2 linked regions of the Danio rerio genome follow. The protein of the gene in region 1 binds, or shares a complex with, the protein of each later gene. Links are inferred from orthologs where the notes say so. Each region holds a gene or a part of one and is shown on either strand. Other genes may lie near its edges. The genes, in order: mettl14 and wtap.

Region 1 (9,062 bases):
TATTGACTACAGCAGTACAATCAGGTCTATTATAACGCTAGTGAGCAATAATAAGAAAAGCTATGTCCTTTGCTTTTGAAATACATATCTGAAATCTAACAGGACATAATATTAGATTTACACCACAATAATTAGAAAAGAATTGCCTTTAGATATTCCTTTATAAGATTTGATGGTGAATAATCTTGCACAGACATCAGTTACGGAGTTAGAGTAAATAAGTGCAATCAGTGCAATAATACACTGTAAAAATATTGAGTTCAACACAATTTCTTCGATTATGTTAACTTCATTATTTTTACAAGCTTAAGTGTAATGAATATTAAACAAGCTGTCCCAAAACAAATGTTGTTTCAACTCATTTTAAATAAGTAGTTTGAACAAGCAGCAAGTCATTTTTTATGTGTATAGGTATAATCTATATCATAATATAATATAAACCCTTAAAATTCATTTTTTTTAAAATACATCATAATGAAAATTTTAGGCAACATGGTAACAACATAGAACTGTTGCCTTACAGCAAGAAAGTTGCTGGTTTGAGCCCCGGCTGGGTCACTTGGCGTTTCTGTGTGGAGTTTGCATGTTCTATCTGTGTTTGCCTGGGTTTCCTCCGGGTGCTCCAGTTTCCTCCATGAACCAAAGACATGTGGTACAGGTGAATTGGGTAAGCTAAATTGTCCGTAGTGACTTCAATATGTGTGTGAATGAGAGTGTATTAGTGTTCCCCAGTAATGCAGCTGAAAGGGCATCTGCTGCATAAAACATTTGGTCGATAAGTTGGTGGTTCATTCCTCAGTGGCAACCCTTTAAAAAAATTAATGAATAAATAATTTTATTTATTTATTAATATATTTTTTTAATTAGCAACACTAGTATTGAAATACATCCAGTGTGTGTGTGACAGTATTTCATGTGTCCAGTGTTTGCATCCAGTATATGTGCAGGCCAGCTGCTGCATTCAGAGCAGTTATAAATCACACACAGCACACAAGCACACATGATGGCAGCACATGTTCTTCAAACATTTCAGCGCTTCAAAACATTCACAGAATGTTTGGAAAATGTGAAGCGGCAGATGTGCTGGAAATATAAACTGATTGAATACCAAAATATTTAAATAAGCTCATCCGGTCATTTAAGACTGATAAGATGTTCACGTGCAATAATACTGAAAGAACTGTAGACAAATGTCACAAATAATAAATATGGCAATATTATTACACAACCTTATATTTTTATACCTCTACTCCAAGTACTCTTTCCAGCGCTATTATAAGACAGGATTACATCATTAAACTATTTATGATCGTTTGCATGTGATTATTCTTATGAAATTATCTGATAAAAAATGACAAATCTCCTTTAGAAAAAATGGTTGTGTAGCTTTGTAGATTATTAGCAGTTGTATTGCCACAGTTTTACTAATACTATGGTTAGGGTAGTGGTTAATTTTATGGTTACCGGTTTGAATATAATAATGGTGTGCTTGTACTTGTGCATGTGTGTGTTTGTGTAGTAGTAGTAGTAAACCATGTTTAACAGTTCTGTCTTTGAAGATGCACATTCCTAAATTTTGCCATGGTAAACGCTAGTTTAAATGGGCTAGTTTTCACATGTGAAGTTGCTTATCCCACTCACAGCCTCTACTAAGGTTAATGGTTTCAAAAAGGGTCAAAGTGAGTTCCATTATCTTTTTCCAAGAGCAAAAAGTGGAAATATTTAGCTTTTATGCAGCTAAAACTAGCCCACAAATAAACTTACCTTATTCACTGGATTAAAATGATGATATTGCCTGTCGTGCAGTACATTACACAGGTCTCAAAACTTTTTCTTCTCTCACAAGTCATGCTGTAAAATAGTCACTGTCAAATTAAACGGTACTAGATTCCTCACTTTCTAAGCCCGGCGGAAATAAATAAGCACGTGCGCATCTGTCAGAGAGAGTTCACTGCTCAAAACGCGCTCGTACACTCCTAAAAGAGCTACGATGACTGCAACAAATATATGAAATTACCAACATTCTGTGGGAGACTACTGTTTCACAGTAAAAACCCAAATGACAACAAGACGTCTTGCGCTGGATGAGAGTGGCTGCTTTGTTCTCCGTTTAGTGCTACCTGAGGCGCATACCTTTCCCACGCGTGGATGCATTGAAGTTTGGACATGTCTTAGCTTGCATGTGTTGTGTGCACTGCAGTATTTTTTTCTTTTTTGACATGACAATTTTTAAAGTCTCAAGTAATAGTAAGCATTAAAGTAATCTATGGAAATAGGTAATGCGCGAGAAGGTCTTGTAAAAACAATTAAACACACTTGAAGTGCGGTAAATTTCTTTCGCATAAACTAATACTGTTGAAAATTAGATACTTTCTTTGTATACATACATACCCTGCTTGCAGTCGCAGTATCCCCAGTCAATGCGTCCTCTGTTGTTCGTGAAGAAGCACCAGGGCCGAATTCTCCCGTCCGGATTTCGGCAGAAAGTGTGATCTCCGAGCCCTTTACCTTGATACCGCTCTCTAACACCGGGCACATCGCTCCAGTTCATGCACTTCACGCCTGATTCGGTTGCGTCAATGGACCCCTCGTAAAAGCCCGCTTTCCCTTTGCTCTGAACACAGTCAGTGAACGGAGAGCCGCCAGTGCGCGCGATCATAAGCAGAAGCGCGCAGACCGTAAAGACGAACCGACACCTCACATCCATCACGATCAACCTGTCCGTGACTGTCACCCTAACACCCGACAATTACTCTCCAGTCTGCGTGGATAAGACATGGTACCCGAGTTTTCTCATCTTGTCGTTTGGCTGTTATCAGAGCAGCAGACGCGGATCAATAAAAGAGAAACCGGGGAAGCCCGGAGCTTATGACTCATGCATATTGATGATCGTCGCCCAGTCTGGATTTCAAGTTTAAAAAGAGAACAGTTGATGGTAAAAATCAATAGTGTCCTTCATTTAATAGTGACAAGTTGCAGAACAATAGAAAAAGAATCTACGAGGCAAATAGTAATTGCTAAATAAATCATTCCACGATAGCGCCCGAGCTGCGCGCGCCGATCTTCCCACAGAGTGAACTTAAACGAGAGTCTGCCACGTTATATCAGTAATTTGGCGTCTAGTCTGGTCTGGTCATCACTGTTGGTCTCTCCGAGACAACACGGTGTACAAATTTCGGCTCAAGCTTTCAGAACTAATCACAATGACAAACAGCCAAAAGTTCACTTCTGCCCTCTTGTGTCAGTAAAATGCAACCAGAATCAATGCTTTTCATTTATGAAATTATAAACATTATTAATTATAGAATAATAGCTAATTTAAAAATATATTTTTAAAATCGGTTTCAGTTACTTTCAGTCAGCAAGGATAGATCAAAACAAATACAATATTAAAAGAAAAGAAAAAATACAATTATTCAAAGTCTAAATTTAAGGCTTTAAAATAATTAACATTGCTTTTTGTTTTAGTATTTTTTGTTTTTATATCGTACATGATCTATTTCTATTTTAAAATGAGTAAAATTAGGTTTTTTTCACAGCCCATTTACATTTACGAATAAAACAAATTCCACATATAATGAGCAAACACTATACCAAATTTTGAAGCCGGCTGTATTCTCATAATAAACATCATTTCTTTTAATTCCAATGCAATACTCGTACTCCGCAAAAAAAAAAAAGATCACACCAAAACAATAGTGTATAAATACAATCAAAATAAATGAACAATACTCTCTTCTTAATCGTTACAGAAAACACATTTTAAGTCAACACCTTTACAAAATTGTGCAATTACCTGTTTTACATGATAAAAACGATTAACAATTTTAAATATTAAGTTACCTCTCTAATTTTTCAGTTATACAAAAACGTCTGGAGATCTTAAAAGTCTGGTTCGAGTTTACGTCTTGAAATTGTGATCTCCAAAAACTAATGGCTGAAGGAACACTGACAGTCAAATCATTCAAAGATAATCATTATTACATTTTGTTTACGCTAGTTGTTTTTACTCCAAATAAAAGTAAGAGGCCGTCTACTGACGTCACCGTATGCGTCAAGCATTGTGATGATGTAAAATACATGCGACGGTTTCTCACGTTGAGGGTTTCAATGGATTTTTGCCGCACTATTGTTGTCATCTGATCATTTCACGATTAGCTATTTTCCTGCAAAACATTTTCGACATGAACAGCCGCTTGCAAGAAATACGGGAAAGGCAGAAGCTCAGACGTCAGCTTCTCGCACAACAGGTACGAATACACAACTTTATTTCTTCCTGCAGAAAGCCAGTTTTAGCAAACACTGCCATATTAACGCGGTGTTATATTACTAACGCCAATGAACGTAGAAGCATTGCGAATGTTTTATGACATTAATGATTTGTTTTACAGCTCGGAGCAGAGAGTCCCGACAGCATCGGCGCAGTTCTCAACAGTAAAGATGAACAAAAAGAGATTGAAGAGACTAGAGAGACCTGCAGGTATAAACCATTTGTTAAATTCAAGGACTATGTGCAGCACTAAAAAATAAAGAACACTAAGACCTATATACCCCAAAAGAGCTAAAACTGTACTGATAGGACAACCTTTACATTCAGCACGGGTATGTGATGCTGCTACTTGTAAGTTAGTATTAATCAGAACGATGCTGAGGTCAGTTACCATTTGGTTTGTTTACTGTAGGGCATCATTTGACATATCAGTTCCTGGTGCTAAAAGGAAGTGTCTGAATGAGGGTGAAGATCCAGAGGAAGATGTGGAAGAGCAAAAGGTGAGAGAGCGCTGATCAGGAATCGGCTGTTAATTCAGAAAAGCCCTTACATTTGATCAGGTCAGAGCTATGTGTAACTGATTTTGAATCTGCTGTATGGTGTAGGAAGATGTTGAGCCTCAACATCAGGAAGAGAGTGGACCATATGAAGAGGTGTACAAGGACTCCAGCACATTTCTAAAGGTATCTTTAAACACAATTGTATATGATTTAATTGAGCAATCGGGTATGAGAAGCTATGATATTTTTGTGAGGATACTCAGACATATATTCACAAAACGGTTACCACTATATACTGTCATTAAAGGCAAAAACATGGTAATTTTTGAAAAGTACGATCTTTAAATTCTTTCATTCCATCAGAAAAACTGTCCCTTACAGTAAACGTAAACTGCATTGGGTTTTGCAATTAAGGTATGTTTCATAGTTCTTAGAACTAATGTAGGAAATTCTCGCTTTTGACATGTTTGTAATGCAAGGACTAGGAACAGTTTTAGTTATTGGAGCTTTTTTGGGAAACAAGTGTTACATACAGTATATACATACAGAAAGCTAGAGATAGTCTCATTTACCTGTTGGCTTTTTCTGCTTTCTGCATTCTTTCCTTTGTATTCCTTTGTATTATGTATCAGTATAAGATGTCATAGGGGATTTATTTCTTCTGGTTCCTTTTTCAGTTGCATAGTTTATGTCTATGCAAAGTCACTCTAAATATTACTAAAATAACATAAGTAATGTTTTTATTATATCATTACTTGTTTCACAGGGCACTCAGAGTTTAAATCCTCACAATGATTATTGCCAGCACTTTGTGGACACAGGTCATAGACCTCAGAACTTTATCCGAGATGGAGGTAAAGTGTTTTTCTACTTTTTCTTTTTAGTTTTCCACTTTGAGAGTGTGTTAACCTGTGTGTTCTCATGTGCTGTAGGTTTGGCTGACAGGTTTGAGGAATACCCCAAACAAAGAGAGCTCATTCGACTGAAAGATGAACTCATCTCTGCCACCAACACTCCCCCCATGTAAGAAAACTTGGTCTCAGTCTATGTCATAGGGCCCATACCGGCCAGTGGTGCCCATTTGCAGTTTTTGAAACCTGAAAATTATTCACATTTGTGTATAAAACACTGGGTTTTATTTAGATTCTAGAATTTTATTTGAACGTACTAAAAACAAAAGTGATTTTGAGGTTGCTAAGCAAATAAAATCAGTTATTTTTTATAATAATTAGAAGCATTTAACTATGGGACAATTGGGTCTTTTTCAATGCTTTTATGAATGTAATAACTCTTGCGTTTGTGTGCGTTTCAGGTATCTCCAGGCAGATCCAGACACGTTTGATCTGAGAGAGTTGAAGTGCAAGTTTGATGTGATTCTGATAGAGCCTCCATTAGAGGAATATTACAGAGAGTCAGGCATCATTGCCAATGAGCGCTTTTGGAACTGGGACGATGTGAGTTACTGCAAATTCTCAAAATCAACCTCATGAGAATGTTTTTAAAATTGATTTCAATTATGTATTATAATACACATTAGAGATATACTTGACTACACTCAAAAATGAAAATTCTATCATCCCCACTTGTCCCAAAGCTGTTTGAGTTCATTTCTTCTGTTAAACACAAAAGCAGATATAGTGAGGAATGCTGGGGGAAAACAGCCGTTGACTTTCATAGTTTTTTTGTTTGTTTGTTTTAGTTGTTTTTGTTGTTCCTAATATGGATGTAAGTGGCTGCATTTTCCAACATTCTTCAGATTATCTAGTTTTATGTTCAACAGAAGAAAGACATTGATAACAATTTACAACCATTTGAGTCTGACTAAATGGTGAGAATTTTCATTTTTAGATGAACTATCCATTTAGATAACAGTTATTATATATTTTATGCTCATATAATATAATAATGTAAGATGTCCTAACATATATAATAACTTATTTTTGTATTCATGTGTGCTTTAGATCATGAAGCTGAACATAGAGGAAATCTCATCCATTCGCTCTTTTGTATTCTTGTGGTGTGGCTCAGGAGAAGGCCTTGATCTTGGCCGAATGGTACAAATCTCACAAATATACAAACTTGACATGGCAGATTTCTGTTCCATGTGCATAAACCTAAACTTATCTCAAATATGATGTACACATAATAACCTGCCCACATACAAATATGCTGCTTTTACATCATTGCCAAATATTCTTTATTCAAACATATTTAAACATCTTTCATTCTTCTTTCTCTCTCAGTGTCTGAGAAAATGGGGCTTCAGGCGATGTGAGGACATATGTTGGATCAAGACCAACAAAAACAACCCTGGCAAAACCAAAACACTGGACCCTAAAGCAGTGTTCCAGAGAACTAAGGTAAAAGTTATTGTCTATAATATATAGAGTCATAGGCAAAGCACAACATTGTAATCTCACTTATTCATAATGATGCTTTCCTGTAGTAAACACTTTTTTTTTGACATCTCTTTTTTGTGTGTTTACACTCAGGAGCACTGCCTGATGGGTATCAAAGGCACTGTTAGACGCAGCACAGATGGCGATTTCATTCACGCTAATGTGGATATTGACCTGATCATTACAGAGGAGCCAGAGATGGGCAATATTGAGAAGCCAGTGGAGATTTTCCACATCATTGAGCATTTCTGCCTGGGTCGTCGACGGCTGCACCTGTTTGGCAGAGACAGCACTATCAGGCCAGGTTAAATATTTACAGATATTATAGATGTATATTTCTATAAATTGTGCATAGCATTCCTCAACGATGTTAGTTGTGAAATTAGTGTATTGTTTTAAAAGTAACAACATAATATGGCTTGAAAAGACAGTACTTTTAATGATATTTTAGTAAATTATAAATTATATTTTTAATCACTACAGTTAATAGATTAGAGCCAGAAGTTTTTTTTTTAAACTAAAATTCATTAAACGGTAACATGAAATATTACAATTTAAAATAACTGTTTCCTATGTGAATATGCAGTAGTCAACATTTAAGGAGGATCAAAGATCGTTATTGTATAATAAATATATAATTAAATGTATTTAAAAATGATAAATAATATTAATATTATTGTAAAAATATTGGCAATGTTCAGTACACATTTTGCGTTTAGGACACTTTTGCTGAAAAGTTTTGATCCATTTTAAATATTGACTGATATGCTTTACAGTTTATTGTATTTCTATCATTCAAAGTTGAAATTTCAGCAGGCACTACTCCAGTCTTTATGATCCTTCATAATTCTAATTTGCTTCATTTTGTGACGAGTATGTGATGAACAGAGTTCCAACAATAAAAAGTATTTCATTAAATTTTATTAATGCAAAAATAAATAATTAATATAAATATTTCCACCAAATGTGTTCAGTTCTTGTGTAAATGTTATATGATGTAAAATGTTATGGTTTATTTCATTTAAGGATGGCTGACTGTGGGTCCCACTCTGACCAATAGCAACTTCAACATCGAAGTTTACTCCACCCACTTCAGCGAGCCCAACTCTTACTTGTCTGGTTGTACTGAAGAAATCGAGAGACTCCGCCCCAAATCCCCACCTCCTAAATCTATGGCAGAAAGGGGTGGGGGTGCACCGCGAGGAGGACGGGGTGGTCCTGCTGCGGGCCGAGGTGATCGGGGTCGAGAGAGAAATCGGCCAAACTTCCGTGGGGATCGAGGGGGATTCAGAGGCCGTGGAGGCCCACATCGTGGATTCCCTCCCCGATAGTCTGCAACGTGCCAACATTCAGACTGAAAACAAAAAATGTGAGGATTCTGAGATATTTTTGTATTTGAAATTTGAAAAGGTGTTGATCTCTGTATTGTTTTTGTTAAGTGTATTAAGAGGTTAGGGATGGGGTTCAATTTTAACAACTCAATTCTGAATGACTTCTGTAAAGTCACTTACAAAAGTATTTGTAAAGATTTTATTCAGCCTCAATTAAACCCTGTTTTTTAAACAAAGATTTGTTTTTGACTTTTGCACATGACTTAACTCATCCTCCATTCACTCACCACTTTATTCATTTATGTTGTTGATAGCAGACAGCTGGGATTTCCATGTAGTATGCTGGGATTGCATCATGCATTTTAACCAAAACTGGACAAAAGATGATTAAAAAATGGGTCGCCTTGTTGTGATTATTATGTTGGCTATTATTTCAATGTTTAACCATCTTTTGTATGTACATATATATTATTTTGGTTTTTGATGTAAAGTACAGATAATAGGATCACAATTTGGCATAAAGTACCATGAAAGCATGAATCCATCTGCTTCTTATGTAATC
Region 2 (9,027 bases), on another chromosome or scaffold:
TCATAACTTTTGAATGTAGCAAATGTAATTTTAGTTTGGATGTCCAAATCCCATCACATGATCAAAAATCAGGCCTGATCACATGGTTTTAGACTCGATCAGAATCGGATGTTACGTCCCGATCAGAATATGAATATGAAAATATATATATATATATATATATATATATATAGGGTTGGACAAAGTCGACCAATTTGGCATTGAACAATGTCTAATGTGAAACATCGCGATGGACGATGGCATTAGGGAATTCATTATTTATGAATAATTAATTATTCTGTAACAAATTAATTATTTGTAGCCTACCGTTTCAACTGCCAAACCCACATGGTCTTTGTTTTAACCATAAACAAATCATAAATAAATAAAGATAAGTTAAACACAAATTACCACCTGTCAATCACTTTTCAGTGGGACTCTAGGCATGAACAGGCTGAGTGATCTGTGTTGTTATAATGGCGTCGATAAACTTAGTTGGTAAAAAGTTGCACAGCCAACAGGAAGCAGCCAACAGTAGCTGAGGCTTTGGCTAAAATGACTACGTACAAGCGTGAAAGCGAAAGATTGAAGTAGTGTACTGACGCTGTGACACGTTACCTGATAGATTTAAAAGACAGAAGAGTCGTTAGATAGAGATAAAAGTAATTAAATATCATGTTTAACTATAGTGAGACGCGACCCATCGGTACATCCTTAATAAACTGTCTGACGTTCACTGCTCTCTGGGGTTTTATGCTCAAAGCACCCGCTGACTGCTGGAGCTTAGACGCATGCATACGCTGCAGCGTATATGTGTGTGTGTGTGTGTGTGTGTGTGTGTGTGTGTGTGTGTGTGTGTGTGTGTGTGTGTGTGTGTGTGTGTGTGTGTGTGTGTGTATGTGTGTGTGTTCACGTGATGTGGATATCTGTTTGGCACATCGATGAAGTTGCTAGCGTGACACACAATCCAGATGAAATATGAAAGCCCAACATAAGTGTTGATAATATGCAATGTGATTTTTACTAAGAATACCACTGTAGACAACGATAGAAGGGTGTGTATAAAATGAAATAACAATTTGTGTCCACCAAACATAAGGAATAGCAATCTGGTTTGTTCTCACCCTTGGCCAGAGCCTCTTGATATTTCTCCTCTGTGACATTGAGGTTGTTGACATATGTTGCATGGTGCTTGCTGTGATGAAGCTGCATAATCTCAGCACAGATGTGAGGCTCAAGTGCACCATAGTCATATGTGAGGTCAGGGAGAGCGTGCTTCTGTCTGGAGGTCACAGCACCTAAGAGGGGGTTGAAGGTTGCAGCGCACCTATTGTTGACAGCAACAAAGAAATATATTTATGTTTTGAAAACAATATTGCTACAAACAGACAAAAAATTGTCAGGTTATGTTGGATTACTGTGATGAGTACACTGGATCACTGCTGCATGGAAAGTCACATGATCAGAAGTTTCAAACTAGGTTTAAAAAAGGGGGATATCATTTTTGATTAACATTTAGCAAATATTGTAAAAAGTCTTAGTCTTTCCCCTTAGACCAAATAAAGTAGATTTATATATAAATATGAGTGCATTTATATTTTAAAATTAGTAATCTATCAAGATCTAATAAGTGTCCTTGGCATCAAGTTATTTTGAAAACCTCTGGTAAGTAGCCGCTTAGGGCCCAAGGAAATCTGAATAAGAATAAATAATACTCTACATTATATATAATATTGTTTTCTATCATATTTTGTACGGTGAAGGTCTAAAAAGTTTCATTTTAACGTTATTATTACATCTGGGCAAATGTGTACCCTACTTTCAATCATGGACCAGTCCGGCAGTCGAACTAAATTGTTAATTCCGTATGTTTAGATGTGAATTTATCTTAAGAAAACAAATAGTTTCAAAAGTTTTACAAGGTACTTTACATATTATTATTTTGCATTAAGATAAAATGTAGAAAATTAGATTGAATAATATCAAAAAACTGCAAAAAAATAAATAAATAAATAAATAAATAAATAAATAAATAAATAAAGTACAAAAGGTGCATTTTAGATTTTATGAGCCCCCTGGCTGGAATTGTTTAGGGCCCCAAAAATCACTAAATCTGCCCCTGAGTACAGTATACATTAACAAGTGATAAAACTGACTGTTTGTCAAACATAAGTGCTTCAATAGCAACTGTTTGACACAAATTGCAATGATTTCTGATGAAAGTATTTTTTAGGAATGTTGACGAAGATTTGGTCGAAAGGTTTGTATGGTTCGTTTAAAATAAAAGCCAACAGCACACATTTAATTATTAAATATATATTAATTTGAACATTTTAACACGTTAAGCTGTTGTTTGACAGGCTCGACGGAGGCTAATGCAATTACAAGTACACAACTCATATACAACAGCAAATATAGCCTAAGCATCTAAAGTTATTCCTTGTTAAAACTACTCTCGTAATATTACTTACGTAAACTATTGCTGTCCGCTTAAACGCTCAACCAAACAGGTAAATGTGCGCAGGTTATTAATACCGCCATTGATTATATAAACAACATTTGATATTCAGACAGCGGCATATAGTATTAGAACCGATTCAGGCTTTATCATTACCTCCGAACATATCCGACTCTGCACAGCATGCTCTAGTCCGTCACACAGTGATACAAGCGACCAACCAACAGACCTAAATTCGCCACATTACAACCTGCCCTTGAAATTTCAACTTCAACTTGGACTAGACCATACCATTTTGTCAAAATAGGGGTCTGAGAAAATTTTTTTTGTATTTTTATTGATTGCAGACTAAACTATAAAGAATATTTCCGTGTAAAAATAAATTATGAATATTTGAGAGCATAGTATATATTATATATATCTCAAGGGATCGATAGTACTACAATGTAAAGAGGGTGCAAAAACCATGCCCCCTGTCCCAGTTGGTGTAATTCAGTCAGTCATTCTAGGCCTAGGTCCAGAGTGAGACAGTAAATAAATGGTTTCGTTTTAGAACTTTTGTTGCCTGATTTATTAGGATTGTACATTTTGTTTTGCTTCACATTAAAGCAAAATGAATAGCTCAATTTCTTTCCACTTAGTAATTTTGCAAAGAGATTACAAGCAATGGGTTAAGAATTACACAGATCGTAATTCCTATGGCGAATATCTAATGTAATTAACTTGATCATGTATGTATATAGAGAGAGTAAAACGTGTTATCGTTTAGTTAGCATTAAAGCTTACATACCAGGGTTGCCAGATCAATCAAAAGAAACGTGTCAGAAAACAAACCGGATATGAGAAAGGACTTTTGGAAAACACTAAACAGGACACACAAAATATATATTTTAGTCCTTCTTTTCTTGTGCCTTTATTATTGATGTCGTGGTGGTCGGTATGTTTTGTGTGGTAATTTGTCTTTTACAACTAGCTACCTACACCTAACTAACTAACAAAGCAAAAATGAAGTCAATTAATAAATGAATGATTATATACATTAACGTTTGAATGTATGCATGTAAGTTATAAATAAGCTATGTTATCATAATTGTAATAGGTTGTTTGTTGTACTGTAAAAGATGCACTGTTGTTCAATATCAACCTGGCAACACAGTGACAGGAACGTGCTCCTCCTCCTCAGCGCTCGCGCGAACGAACACACTGATGCTGTGCGGCTGAACATCGCGCACACGCTGGTCATGGCGGACGGGCTACCTTTCGTCTAAATAAAAAACGCAACATTTTCCCTATCCCGAGAACTATATTAATAAAAATAACTCTTTCGTATCTCACATTGGAAGACATACGTGTCATTCTGGTCGAGGCGAACCGGCTCTGGTAAGTGGTAGGGATTTAATACGGCTATTTCAGATAAAGTGCTGCTTCTCGGAGAGGGAGAGTCTCTTCCTTCTCCGCCATTTTGTGACAGCGAAAATGCTCCAAGAAGGCGCCGGTACATTTTTATTCCTGTGCGTCTGCAGTCATTTATTGTCTATGTTTTAAGACGAATCTGCATTATCGGCTACGTAAGTTCTTCATGTCTTCCCCGGGAGTAACGAGCACCGTTCCTGAGACTATGAGAATGGCGCGCGGTTGTTTGCGGCGCAGAGCGTTTACCAAGTCAAATCGTTAATTGACGAACTCAATTCGCCTGAATTACGAAACTAACCTTCTTGTTTGGCTATATGAAATAATATTTAAGGGCTACAGTTTGCATTTTTCGATTATAATACGTTAAATGTGCAATTCAAGATGCATATAACGTTTTAGCAGTAAGTTAAGGTTAGGTCAAAATGTTAAGTGATATTTTTTCACATTTTCGCAGTTTAGTTTGTTTCCACATGTTTGCTGCATTTAATTATCAGAAAGTGAATAATTGGCCTTAACTAAGCAAATTCCTCCACAATATCTGTTGTAATTGAGAAACAACAACCTCTCCCTCGCCTGGTGGCCTATATTCGTTATAGCACACGTGTAGGCGTGTGAAATCCATGCAACTGTCTCTAAATCTTTTCTGCATATTGTTGCTTGAAATTGCGTGTGTAGGTTTGATTCATTGATTTATTTGAACTTACTAAGTGTTTGGTTTGTATGCTTCTGTCTTGCAGAGATCAGAATGACCAATGAAGAACCTCTCCCGAAGAAGGTGAGCTCTTTGTCCCAGTCTAATCTGATTATATGATTCTTTCTCCTGAACAAGGTCTCTTTATGAGTCTTTATTTTCTTTTTATGTACTTGCAGGTTCGCCTTAGTGAATCTGACATGAAGACGCTGACTCGAGAGGAGCTCTGTACCAGGTATGTAACCATTCTCTCTCCCGCAAAAACAAAGTATGCAAGTTGAAAGATTCTTGATTGTAATGCTGGTATGTTTTCTTTCCGGGTGTAGGTGGAAACAGCATGAAACTTACGTCCAGATGCTTGAGGCGAAATATGCTGATTTAAACTGTAAGTATGCACATCTTAAATGTTCTGAATAATTCATAGTCTTGAGTGCTTTACTCAAGCACAGAGTGTTCAGTCTTTGTGTTAAAGTAATGTTATTGCATAAAATGAATTGTTGGTAACTAATGCATTTGTTTCATGTTGAAATGTCTGCAGCCAATGACGTGACAGGCCTGAAAGAGTCTGAGGAGAAGTTGAAGCAGCAACAGCAGGAATCTGCACGCAGAGAGAACATTCTGGTGATGAGGCTTGCTACAAAAGAGCAGGAAATGCAAGAGTGTACAGTAAGTTTTTTTTTCTTTTTTTTCTTAATCACTACTACATCTGTTTACTTCTGCTTTATGATCAAGTCTATTCTTGGAAATATGTCAGTTTGTTTGAGTAGTACTGAGTGTCTGAGTTTTGTAGGTGCTGCCTAAGTTGCACACTTCCCTACTATAAGTAGGTGCAAATAGTAAGTTATTCAAAATGAGTATCCACTCAAGAAGAGTGCATGTGATTTGAGATGCTGCTTCTGCTCATGGGTCCCCACCATGATGATTTCTTTTTGTTTACATATAGCAGATGCATTTCTTTTTCTAATGATCTGTGAGACATCAAAAAACATTGCAAATGTAATAGCTGCTATGATCTAGTCAAATGTGTTTTCAAATGTCGGCCATGCAAATTCTAGCTGTAATTTATCATGCTGTACTGAAGCGGATATGAGCATAAATTTTCCAACATTTCAACATGCTGGCATAAAGCAAAACAAATGCAAGTGGTGGCGGATGCAGGCTTGTGCATGTCTACAGTGTTCCACCTTTTACTGCAACTTTCACATTCAGGCACAAACTTTATTTGTAGCAGGTACAAATGACATTACGAATAGGGTTTGGAGTTTCAACTAGACTAGTTTTCATTGCGGTGATTGTTTAATATTGGGACATCAAAGCACTTCAGTTATACAAGCTACTCATTAACTAGACAATGAGCTTGGTATTAAACAGTTGTTTCAAAAATTAAAACTTTAACTGTATACTAGTTTCAAAGCTGAAGTTTTTTATTTATATAAACAGGGTTCATACCATCATAGAAAACCTAGAAAAGTCATGGAATTTTGACATGGTGTTTTCCAGGCCTGCTAAAGTTTTGGAAAAACAAAAGCCACAAAGTTTTGGAAAAGTCATGGAAATTGGATATCTGTATACTTGAATAAAGGTTTTTTACTTTTCTTCCTTGGCCAATCATATACTCTCAAATTATTAGTGCGGTGTAAGCATTATCTAAATCAAATTTACATAGATATAAATTGAAACTAAATGGATTGTTGCGTATTTTATGATATGCTGTAATAAATTTGAACTTGCATTGTTTTTCTTTTACCTCATATATGTAGATAATGCATGAAACATTAGGCCATAAATATTTACTTGTAAGTCTTAGAAAAATCATGGAATTTTATTAGCAAAAATATGTATGAGCCTTTTATATACGTACTTGCATACTCCATTGACTTTTAATTTTTAGTTTGAAATGCTGAGATTCTAATGGTCTCTTACCTTGCAGACCCAAATCCAGTACCTGAAGCAAGTCCAGCAACCGAGTGCAGCTCAGCTGAGATCGTCCATGGTGGACCCAGCCATCAACTTATTTTTCCTCAAAATGAAGGCTGAACTGGAACAGACTAAAGACAAACTGGAGCAAGCCCAAAATGAACTGAGTGCCTGGAAATTTACACCTGATAGGTAAACTAAAATAACTCCCCCCTCCAAACAAAAAGTCAAGACTTTCCTGATTCACCCCCACCTTCTCCTCTGCAGGAGTGCAGATAATGGTGGGGGAAGACTGAAATGTGTTGCTCACAACGAGACTCAGACTTTAAAGCAAAAAAGCTCAGAACAAAAGACATTTTTCTTTTGTATTGCCCTGCTATTACACATACCGTAATGTAAAATCAGAACAGAACACGGCAGTTTGGTCAGGTGACACTTTTGTTTCAGCTCTTTCTCTCCCCCCCACACCCCTCATGGTACAGAAGCCTGAAGGAATCGGGACTGTTCCTGAAGAGGTGGTCACGTCGGAAACTCAGCCCGTGTTAGAAAGCTTCCTGTAACAAATAAGGCGGCCTATGAAAGACTTGAGCAAAGCGTTGGCTCTGGAGCTGGTTGAACTGTAGTTTGCAGGTCACTGATTGAACATTTAAAACATGACATGGCCCAACTAAATGTGTTGCAGAGGAAAATGCCCCCATATAAACTCCATCATAGATGCTTTGAGACTCTGGTTAAGAATCTAGAATGTAAAACAGGGAGGCGGGAATGTAGTGTGATGCAATGAAATGGGGGTGGAGTTAAGCAATCTTAAGACTTTGGGGGAGAAAGCCTTTATGATGTAAGACTTTGGGGGAGGAATCAGACATTCTGATCTGCAAAGACTTTCATATATGTTCATCTCACAGGTGCGACATACGGTACAGTGTCTTAAACCTTTTATCTTTTTTTGTGTTCGTAATATTATACTTTGTTTTTGCTCTGGAAACACTCCTTGCATTCACAGTAGAGTGGTCCAAACGAATTGAATTTATTTAAAATTGGCTGTTGCACTGCTGTGGATGCGAATATAATTGTTCTTTTCGATGTGAATGCAAATGTGCCATGTGTGATAGTAATATGTGTGAATAGTACAGCTATTCAATGTTCAAATGTCTGTGTATGATCATTTGTATTTTAACTTGTGTACCTTTCTAATCCACTTTTTATTTTTCGGTCATCCAGTGAAAGTTTAATTTTCTTTTTTTTTTTCTCTCAGGTCACAAATTTTTTGCAGGTATTTTGCTCATTAGAAATGTTCTAGCAAAATCTTACACTTCAACTTTGTTGGATTTCCTATCTGAGTGAATCAAAAGTAGTTGAAAATATTTAGTCAAAAGTCTTTTGAAATATTGACTGCTCTAAAGTGGCATAAAGAATTAAGCGGTTGTCATTGGAAGTTAGTTGTAGGATTCCCATAAAAGTTGCTGAATTGGTTTAAGGAAATTGTTTGTATTTGATTGTTGTTACATTTGATCTCAAACTGCTCTTAAATGTAAAATGTGAGCATTCGTTCTGAAGAGAGTTTAAGTCTTATTGTTTAAGGACAGTAGTGTTACTGCTGTATCTGGCAGAAAAGCACTCAAGTATATTCTAATACTAAAGAAAACATCAACATATCAGTATAATCTTTGCCAAGTTTTTTACTGGAAATAGGTTAAAGGTGCTGCTAATTTAAATGAAGCGCTCTGGCCATGCAACTTTATTGCATCTTTGTAATATTTTGCAGTGATAAGAAATTGATCTGCCTACTGTCAAGACTCTTTGTCATGTAGTATAGAACCAGTCATTTTTTTAATCAACTGATGCAGATATTGTTGGTAGCTCGTAGCTACTTTTAGATTAACAGGTAGGTACTAATAGTCACTGAAATGGAAATTGCTAATTGGTTTTGTACCATGGTCAATTACCTGGAGTACTATCCTGTTAGATGCGTTCAGATGTATTGCACTTGTTGGTTTACTTGATTTGGTCTGCCAAATGTTCATGCATCTTTTCCCAGTATTGTTTAAACTGTTACTTGATTTTCTTGATTGTTGTTGAGTATGTTTACATGCACACCAGGAAACTGCTTATTGCGAAAGATTTGTGAAAGTATCATTGTGCTGACATGTTTTGTCAAAGCAGCATATACCTGTGGCACGATTAGCATTTATTTGGCTGCCTGATCTTTTTCCATGCACTCTTCAAAAAGCTGCCTATGCATTTACATGACTACATAAGACACAATCTCTGCTAGCATTCTGCCAATGTTAAATCATGTTGACTTTCTTAAGAATACCAAGCTGTTTTCATTAGTGCTTGTAAACATACTCTAATGGTCAACTATATTTACCAGTCCGAAGACCAGTGTGGCCATTGGAGAGTTGGAAGCTATTTCTGGTTGTTACCTTCTAGTTTGTAAATGCAATGGTCACTTGTGTTGACCCTGTGGCCATGTTCACGATGTGATGTTAGACTTGTTTCCCTTGCAGCCAGACTGGTAAGAAGCTGATGGCGAAATGTCGCATGCTGATCCAGGAGAATCAGGAGT

Evidence for each region.
Region 2: mettl14 (region 1) and wtap share a complex: the UniProt entries of both Homo sapiens proteins name them as parts of the WMM complex. The link is inferred for Danio rerio from reciprocal best matches to the Homo sapiens genes METTL14 and WTAP.

What each region holds. Positions count from the first base shown.
Region 1 is NC_133176.1:21,568,251-21,577,312, reverse strand, and holds mettl14 (N(6)-adenosine-methyltransferase non-catalytic subunit METTL14), read left to right. Parts: upstream 1-4,092; 5' UTR 4,093-4,184; coding exon 4,185-4,250; intron 4,251-4,391; coding exon 4,392-4,480; intron 4,481-4,682; coding exon 4,683-4,770; intron 4,771-4,875; coding exon 4,876-4,953; intron 4,954-5,536; coding exon 5,537-5,624; intron 5,625-5,702; coding exon 5,703-5,793; intron 5,794-6,082; coding exon 6,083-6,224; intron 6,225-6,731; coding exon 6,732-6,824; intron 6,825-7,013; coding exon 7,014-7,130; intron 7,131-7,262; coding exon 7,263-7,473; intron 7,474-8,195; coding exon 8,196-8,500; 3' UTR 8,501-8,736; downstream 8,737-9,062. Other genes in the region: prss12 (neurotrypsin), read right to left, coding at 2,392-2,707. UniProt on the Homo sapiens protein: The METTL3-METTL14 heterodimer forms a N6-methyltransferase complex that methylates adenosine residues at the N(6) position of some mRNAs and regulates the circadian clock, differentiation of embryonic stem cells and cortical neurogenesis.
Region 2 is NC_133195.1:33,719,425-33,728,451, reverse strand, and holds the start of wtap (pre-mRNA-splicing regulator WTAP), read left to right. Parts: upstream 1-3,660; 5' UTR 3,661-3,817; exon of another isoform or gene 3,818-4,005; intron 4,006-4,587; 5' UTR 4,588-4,595; coding exon 4,596-4,625; intron 4,626-4,720; coding exon 4,721-4,776; intron 4,777-4,867; coding exon 4,868-4,926; intron 4,927-5,079; coding exon 5,080-5,207; intron 5,208-6,471; coding exon 6,472-6,650; exon of another isoform or gene 6,651-7,375; intron 7,376-8,968; coding exon 8,969-9,027. Other genes in the region: sod2 (superoxide dismutase [Mn], mitochondrial), read right to left, coding at 1,104-1,306, 2,594-2,622. UniProt on the Homo sapiens protein: Associated component of the WMM complex, a complex that mediates N6-methyladenosine (m6A) methylation of RNAs, a modification that plays a role in the efficiency of mRNA splicing and RNA processing.